2 linked regions of the Arabidopsis thaliana genome follow. The protein of the gene in region 1 interacts with the protein of each later gene in a pairwise test. Each region holds a gene or a part of one and is shown on either strand. Other genes may lie near its edges. The genes, in order: CDKB2;2 and CYCP2;1.

The links.
Region 2: the proteins of CDKB2;2 (region 1) and CYCP2;1 interact in a two-hybrid assay, tested with the Arabidopsis thaliana proteins (one study listed by BioGRID).

The regions. Positions count from the first base shown.
Region 1 is NC_003070.9:7,291,784-7,296,625, forward strand, and holds CDKB2;2 (cyclin-dependent kinase B2;2), read right to left. Parts: upstream 2,964-4,842; 5' UTR 2,882-2,963; coding exon 2,649-2,881; intron 2,268-2,648; coding exon 2,126-2,267; intron 2,038-2,125; coding exon 1,976-2,037; intron 1,884-1,975; coding exon 1,772-1,883; intron 1,640-1,771; coding exon 1,546-1,639; intron 1,459-1,545; coding exon 1,389-1,458; intron 1,298-1,388; coding exon 1,159-1,297; intron 1,065-1,158; coding exon 969-1,064; 3' UTR 725-968; downstream 1-724. Other genes in the region: AT1G20925 (Auxin efflux carrier family protein), read left to right, coding at 10-110, 190-242, 331-516, 600-724; AT1G20940 (F-box family protein), read right to left, coding at 3,491-4,735.
Region 2 is NC_003074.8:7,703,109-7,706,975, reverse strand, and holds CYCP2;1 (cyclin p2;1), read left to right. Parts: upstream 1-2,017; 5' UTR 2,018-2,162; coding exon 2,163-2,548; intron 2,549-2,802; coding exon 2,803-3,049; 3' UTR 3,050-3,177; downstream 3,178-3,867. Other genes in the region: BBX10 (B-box type zinc finger protein with CCT domain-containing protein), read right to left, coding at 1-240; PEX22 (peroxin 22), read left to right, coding at 3,758-3,867.

The sequences.
Region 1 (4,842 bases):
TCTCTTCAGCTTATCGCGCTTGCGGTTGGGTTAAATCCTTTACTACGGAAGCTACTAGTCGGTAACACAGCTCCACTTCGAGTGATTGAGGACTCAGTATCTCTATTGGGGTATTCTACAACATATTAAAAATCTCACTTGTCAGTGATAATTAACAATGCTTACTTGAGTAGCTTAATTTTCTTGAAGGGACGGGGCGATTCCTGTTCTGACTCTGATTGTTGGAGGAAACCTTCTCAATGGTAGATAAACAATAACAAATGGCTGCAGAAACTTTTTTTCCTAAGACAAAACCTTAAATCTCTGTTCTCTCTCTTATAATAATCACAGGTCTGAGAGGTTCAGGAATAAACAAGTCAGTCATAATGGGTGTGGTGGTTGTGCGTTACTTGTTGCTGCCAATATTAGGAGTTTTCATAGTACGAGGAGCGCATTACTTGGGTTTGGTTACATCCGAACCGCTTTACCAGTTTGTTCTTCTGCTTCAGTATGTCGTTCCCCCAGCGATGAATCTTGGTTCGTTCTTCAGACTCACAAAAATACTACCAAAACATGTCATCACACTGTCTTTCTCATAAACTCACTTGACCTTTTGGCAGGTACAATCACTCAACTATTCGGATCAGGAGAAAGTGAATGCTCTGTGATTCTATTCTGGAGTTATGCCTTGGCTTCAGTTTCTCTCACTGTCTGGCCAACATTCTTCATGTGGCTCGTAGCCTGAACATCCACACACACACACTTACACAAATGGGAAACAGTTGCAAATCTTGCTACTTTGAAATATTAGAGAAACTGATATATTCTTTCATTGATAAAAATGTTGGAAGGTTATACAATTGGGAATAGAGACCCAATCAAAAGGGAATATTGAAACTTCAATCATCCTAAGATAGCAGATAAATGCTTGAGACAAGCAAAGACAGAGATAGAACAAAATATCCTATTGAGAGTTTATAAAGAGAGCCTCAGAGAGAGGACTTGTCAGGCAAATCATCGAAGTAAGGATGCTCCATAGCTTTCTTTGCTGAGATTCGTTTTGCTGGCTCGTACTCCAGCATTTTCTGTGCACAAAGAGAAACACAAATTAGTCTCAGCAGAGTGATTATCTACTAATCAAGCAAGGTCTGAGAGGTGTGTTAGACACTAGAGACTTACAGATAAGAGATCAAGTCCAGCCTCGTCGAGGTTTGGCACAGCTGTGGAGAGACTCAACGGTTTCCATTGCGGGTATTCATGCCAGTCCTTGAGTTTGCTTACTCCAGGCCAAACTTCTTCGTTTGGTGTTCCCAACAACCTGAGTTTGACAGGAAAGAAAGAAACAGAACAACCAAGTTAGCGAATGTCATGTTTGTGTCTTAAAGGTAAAGATGAACACAAAGACTTACCTGAATATACGGAGGAGCTGTTGGAGCTCAGAGTCTCCCGCAAAGATTGCTTGCTTGGTCACTAGTTCAGCTACACATCAAAAAGGAAACAAAACTGTTAGTTCTTGCTAGTGACATTGAACTGAAACCAGTGAAACTGTAAGAGAAGATTTTGTACCAAAAATACAGCCAACAGACCACATATCCACTCCAGTAGAGTAATGGGTTGCTCCAAGAAGAACTTCCGGAGCTCTATACCATAGAGTTAGAATCTGTTGCAAATGAAATCATGGGGGTAAAATCATCCTGAGTTATAACTCCAGATAAACTAAGATAGAATTAAAAAAAAAAAAAAAAACTAGAATGAAACAGGACTAATGTTTCATCAACGTAGACTTATATACCTCATGTGTATACTTTTTCATTGGGAGAGTGAAGGCTCTGGCTAATCCAAGATCTGCTATTTTGAGCGTCATTGTCTTCCGGTCCATCAAGAGATTGTGAGGCTTAAGATCCCTGTAATGAAACCAAGACAAGTAGGATTAGAGATCTGTGTCAAAATGGGTTATCTCAAGTCATAGTTCTTCCAAAACAAAGACGATTTTTACCTGTGCAACACTCCATGACCATGGCAAAAAGCCATGCCTTTGCATAACTGGTACATCAAGCACTGCAATTCAAGAACATGTTTCTCTTAGCTTAAAGGGGCTTATCGGATGAGAGAAAAAAAGCAGAACAAAATCTCCAAATATCCAAACCTTGACAGTATTTTGTGGAATGTTCTGTCCAGCTTGACGAAAGCTTCTGATGAATTTCTTGAGATCAGTATCAACATACTCGAAAACAAGGTAAAGTACAGTTTTTCCTTCTTTGTTTATTCCTTGCTTAACATCCATCAACCTGTAGAAGAAGATAATCATCATAACAATAATCTCTCAGTAGAAATGCAATCACCACAAAAATAGTTGAAACTGAGATCACAACACAGAGCTTCTACTTTGACATTTTCTAGTATTCGGATAAGATAAGGAACCCATTTTATCTCGATCGGACCACACAACAAATAGCAAACTGAAACTAAGATCTACCAGTAACACCTAAGAGCGACACTAAGCGCGATTTGCAGGAAGAATCAGAGTCATCAAATCAATTGAGACATCAATTAATCGGGACTAAACCCTAGAAATCGAAATTGAGTCCTAAATCCACAATCAAAACCAGTAAATCGGAGAATTTCAGAAAGTGACTGAACCGAATCAGAAATGTAAAAGGAAATCGAACCTAACGATGTGAGGATCACGAGCGAGCATACGCAAGATAGAGATCTCGCGAAGAGTAGTGGGAGGAACACCTTCTTCATCCTCATGGAGACGCGTCTTCTTCAAAGCAACGATCATCCCAGTAGCTTTCTCTCTTGCTCTGTAAACTTTCCCATAAGTCCCTTCACCTACTTTCTCAAGCTTTTCAAAGGCTTCCATGGCGGAAACAGCGGGTTTAACTCCATTGTTGTCCATCTCTATCAATCTCTCAAGACAACTCTTCTTCTTCCTTCGCGAATCTCAGATTTTGTTTTCAATTTGGGGAAAGAGAGAGGAAATGTAATTAGATTCGAGAATTGGTTTAAATAGGAAGGAGATTATTAAAAAGGTATATTCCCTCTTTGAGCACTCATGTTTTTTCAACGGTTCTTTTTTTCTTTTTTCAAAATTCAAAACTGGAGCGTCGTCATTAGTTTTTTTTTTATGTTCTGTTTTTAAGTGTGACGTGGAAAAAGTGAATAACCAATGTTTGTCAACATCCGGAGACGGTTTAGCTACACGAAAGGAAAAAAAAAAGGGGAGAGTTTGTTTTTTGGTCAAAAGGTGTGAGTTTGTTGTTAGATTCGACAAAACACACAAGATGGGCCTTTATTGGGCAGGACGAAAAATTGACAAGCCAGAGAAGAACAAGTTCTTAAACAACATTGTCTTAAATGATTTTTTGTCCCAAAAGAAATAGTAATATACAACTAATTTTTAGATTTGAAATACATAAACCATAATAGTGCAATGATAAAAGCAAATGGGAAACAAACATTCTTATAAATCAGGACATTTTTTGTATAATCTATAGGCCCTAAATGTTTACTTGGTGGTATCAATGAGTCCCATAATCGAATTTATATAGGAGATGCGTCGGTCATTAGAAGCAACAAGCACCTTCTGTTGCTCATCCTCCTCTACAAAGAACAAGGAGGGCGTCAATTTATAGAAATCTCGGACGCAATTGGGCCAAGCAAGGGTTGACACCAAAACTCCCCAACTGTTAGCTTCCATGTCGTACACATGAAGAACACTTGCCAAAGGTTCTAAACCCATCTTTTTCACCCTCACCACAAGACACTTGCCATCGTACATAGCTATGTTCCAATATACAAGCGTTTCTTCCTCGATAGATATGTTCTTGATCCGCCTTGTGAGTGTCCATTTGTGATTCTCGACAAGTGTGTAAACGGAGATTGTTTCTATCGTCCCCGAAATTAGGGTCAGGCGATTGATCTTAACGCTTTCCGCGAAAAGTAGCTTCGTATCCGGTTCCCGATGAAATATGGAAGGAATCAAGCATGCTTGCTCTGTCTCGGGATTAAAAGACATGATGCTGCCATCGTTTCTCAGCCAGTGAAGAGTGTTGTCCAAGTAAACAGGTTTCATCCGCGTAGTGAGATCACTTTTTGAGCTAGTGGTGATACTCGTTTCCGATAATCTCCAAGAGTCTCCTTCGTTGATCTCGAATCCGTATACGTTTTCCATCTCGAGTATGCCCACGATCTTGAATCTCTTGGTTGTTAGATTTCGATTTACCGCAAATCCAACGCACATCGCTCGTTCCGTACAAGCAACATTACCTCCAGGATAACTAATTCCGCTAAGACCTTTAAGTCCACCATTAACTATCATTGGTATAAGCTTTGATCCAGAATGATCCAGGATTCGAAACCTTTTTGTTAAGGGATTTGCAACAAAGAGACAACCAATGTACAATAGGAGAAGACCAGAGCATGAGCCGAAAATGTAACAATCCGCACTACCATCAAACAGTTCTACTCCATTTCCCGGTGACATATAATCGCATGAAGAGACCAAAGGATGGCAACATACATAAGTAGCGCCATAGCTACCAAGGTTAAACAAACTAGGTCTGACCCATGAAGGATATTCCGGTCCAAATCTTGGATCACTTAAATATGATTTGATAGAATTGTTAGTGCATCGCATCATAGCCATAGATTTGGGTTCTAATCTGAAGAGAATCTCGTCGAGAAGGTCTAAAGGTAAATCATTGATGATGGAAGATGAATCAAATTGAGAATTTCTTGGCAAATTATTCATGATTCTATTTTGCTTGGCGTATGTGAATATTTTTGTGTTATTTTCAACATATATATATATATATATATATATATATATATATATATAATAATAGACAACATATTATT
Region 2 (3,867 bases), on another chromosome or scaffold:
GCTTTCGTGCCAATGACATCCTTGGCAGTATGAAACCTTCTCGTCGAGACAGCGGATTGCGGCTGGCTGTGAGAAGCATTTCTCGCAGATCAAAGAGCGTATGTGCCTGTGAGACAGAGGATTCGCAGAGTGTACATGGACGTCGCAGTTTAGGCATAGTTTAGCCAAATCGGATTTGCAGTAAATCAATGCTTGCGAGGTTGCACAATGGTCACACTTTGGCTCCATACTTGGAGACATGATGATTGGGTAAACTTAAAGAAAAGTGTATAGAGAAGAATCTGACGTTGATATTGTTTCACGATTAGTAAAACACACGTAAGATCCTGCGCAACATAGATGCATGACCATTTCAGATACAAATCATGGAAGGAAAATGATGATTTTGGAATTAAAGATGGTAATATATGGGTGCATCATGCATGATAGGGTTTTGTGTTTCAATTACATTAATTTGTGAGGAAAAATATCGTAAATTGTTACGTTTCAAATAGAAACACAAATGTTTTTGAGAGCTAATACGGAGGAAGAAGCACTCACTTATGACGACCGAGATCGATTAGGCCGATTCACAACCTTTTTCGTAAAATGACGAGAAATTCAAAACCCAATAATGGGAGATTACAGAAAAAAAAACAGATTACAATCTAAGAACAGAATATTTTTTGAATCGAATGAAATGTGAAGAAGAACAAAAAAAGAGTTTTTTTACACTTTTACAGTGGTGTGCGAATCACGTAGAAGAAAGAGAGGTAGGGTTGCTTCTTTTATACCTTGTGAAAACGTGTGTCCACGCGGTTAAAATCCACGTGGCGTAATTATGAGCCTTGACGTGATTTATTATGAAGACATGCATAGGTAATTGTGATTATATCGCTTGTCAAGATAGTACTATCTGATTTTTTTCTTGCTCGATAGATTTTGTGCTCTGTGGCAAACCTTAAAACTCGTTGTTTCGGGTCGATACTAGCTATTACTAGTGTTACTTACTTGTGGTTCCCAATAAATTTATTGATATCGTTTATACGTGTAATACATGTCGTAATTTACTTGAATATTGAGCCACGTACGTTTCTTTTTCGAAAATATGTTCTCAACTAGTTTGAAAGAGTTATCAGTTTTTCTGAATTGTGTGATGTCTTTTGGTATCTCTAACATTTGATATATAGATGTGAGATCATTGAGTCATTTCATTTGAAATAGACTAGGCCACATCAACTTCTATATTATCATCAGTTTAATGTACATGCATGTATAATGGCTATGCAGTTGACTCTTGAATAGAAATAAGTTGTTAGCATTTCTAACTTTTTGATCAGGCTACCCTCAAATTTTGGGATTCCTAACCTAAAAAATGTTGTCAGCTATTTCGTAAAAAATTTGTTTCTAAAAGAAAATTGTAAAATTTGAACTAGTAATTATCTTTTGATATAATCCTCAAAGAACTAACTTTTCTTTTTAAGAAGTTGCACACCAACCTAACTATTTAAAAGGATACAATTTAAGAAAAAAATGCCTTATGCAAAGAAAATGATATATAGATTTGATAGATAAAAGTAAGAAACATGATAACTATTAACGTAAACAAAGATAAATGAACTTCAAAACAGAGATAAGAAAAAATGGCCACATAACATTATATGACCTATGCATAAACTCTCCTTATCAAAACATTAAACATGTATGCAGTGACCGGCAACGCGTATGCCTTTTTTCAAATAATGTATCTAACATTAATTTACATCTATATATAGTATTTACATCAAGAATATATTCCAGCGTATGTAGTAAAATTTGTGTACTGTGAGACTTTTCAAAGGAAATTGTACCGGACGAGAAAATTATGGACCAAGACCCGGAAACTTAATTTTGGGTAATAATGCTAGTAATATGCAGAAAATTAAGTGGAAAATAAAGTTATTTGTTTGATAAATGATAACTAATTTCATTGCTCAAGGTATACAAAAATCATCGGAATCCTATCTTCTCGCGAAGTGACACGTGTCAAAACCATCTCACACTCGTCCAAAGTCAGACGAAACATGATAACATCCCCACGTAACATCTTAAGCTCATCGTATCTCAACCACCCAATCTACAAGCCATATATACCCAAAACGAACTATACAACATGGCCCATTAACGAAAACTGAAGAGAACCCATGTTAACCGCAGCCGGAGACGATGAACTGGACCCGGTCGTGGGACCAGAATCGGCAACGGAAGCAGCCACTCCAAGAGTGCTGACTATAATCTCCCATGTGATGGAGAAGCTCGTGGCACGAAACGAGTGGTTAGCTAAGCAAACTAAGGGATTTGGGAAGAGCTTGGAGGCGTTTCACGGCGTGAGAGCGCCGAGCATAAGTATAGCTAAATACCTTGAGAGGATATATAAGTACACAAAATGTAGCCCGGCATGTTTCGTTGTTGGGTATGTGTACATAGACCGGTTGGCTCATAAGCATCCTGGTTCTTTGGTTGTCTCCTTGAATGTTCATAGACTCCTCGTCACTTGTGTCATGATTGCTGCCAAGATACTAGATGACGTGTAAGTAAGCCTTTCTTGAATTTCTATAATATCTTGAAATTAGACTAATCATGAAACTATAGATCATAGTTGTATCTTAATTGATTAACAAAATGAAAGATACATTTTATATCTAACCAATATAAAATGAGGACAAACTTTGTACCTATATGTATGTTAAGTGCCCCTTTTAAGTTATTGATTTCAAGGTTTCAACATGTATTGGATGAGATAAGAGAGGTTTTCGTTTTTTCTAACAAATTTCATATTCACAGGCACTACAACAACGAGTTCTATGCTCGGGTTGGAGGCGTAAGCAATGCAGACTTGAACAAAATGGAGTTGGAGCTTCTCTTTCTTCTTGACTTTAGAGTTACTGTGAGTTTTAGAGTTTTCGAGAGCTATTGCTTTCACCTCGAAAAAGAGATGCAACTAAACGACGCCGTTTCTTCCCTCAAAGATATTCAACCAATGCAAGAAAGTCTCTCTCCAGCATCTACTTTATCATCTTTATATGTTTGATATATGTATATGAATTTTTTTAATATAACTTTTAACTGAACGCGTTTGGTTGACAGAAAAAGTTTACGCACTAACTATCGAAATTTTATTTATATTTTGAAGAAATTATCTCAAATTTTTGCTAGAGAAAAATAATTGAAATCTCAAACTATGTATACTAGAGATTTTACAATGTAAATCTGTTAAGTTAAATAGTTTGTAGATTTCAACTAAATGATATAAGCTATTTTTTCCTACATTTTGCACATGTTGTTTTGTTCTTCAGGTTCATCTCTCTATTTTCTTCTTTTCACTGTAAAATGATACTCCATGATGACTTAAGTATCCAACAACAACAAACCAAAATCCAATTCTAGTTTCCTAGTTTTCTTACTCCTCCAATCGTCTTCGGTTTATCGTGTAAAATTTCCTTTACATAAGAGCAAAACGCACCGTTTCGTACAGATCAGATCCATCGCACCCTATGATAAAAAACAATGGTCTCACACGCTCATCCACCACCACGTGTTTAACAAGACACGTGTCCAAACAAATTGACTTTGCCTAGTTGTGTTCTAATGGAAAAGTAAAATTCCTCTTTTCTCTCTTAGTTCAGGGAGGAGGCTCGAGAACAGTGCCCCATATCTGAAAGCTGAAGCTAAGAATCTGGACGTTCGTGTTTAAACCGACGACGTATTTGAAATTGGCTTTGAAGGAAAGGTGAAATTAATGGCGGAATCGTCGTCGCCGTCGCCTACTGAAGAGATCGTTCGGTTGATTAAGCGTTTAAGCGCTTACGTTGCTTTCAAAATGTCAAGCCTTTTCTCCACTACATCGAT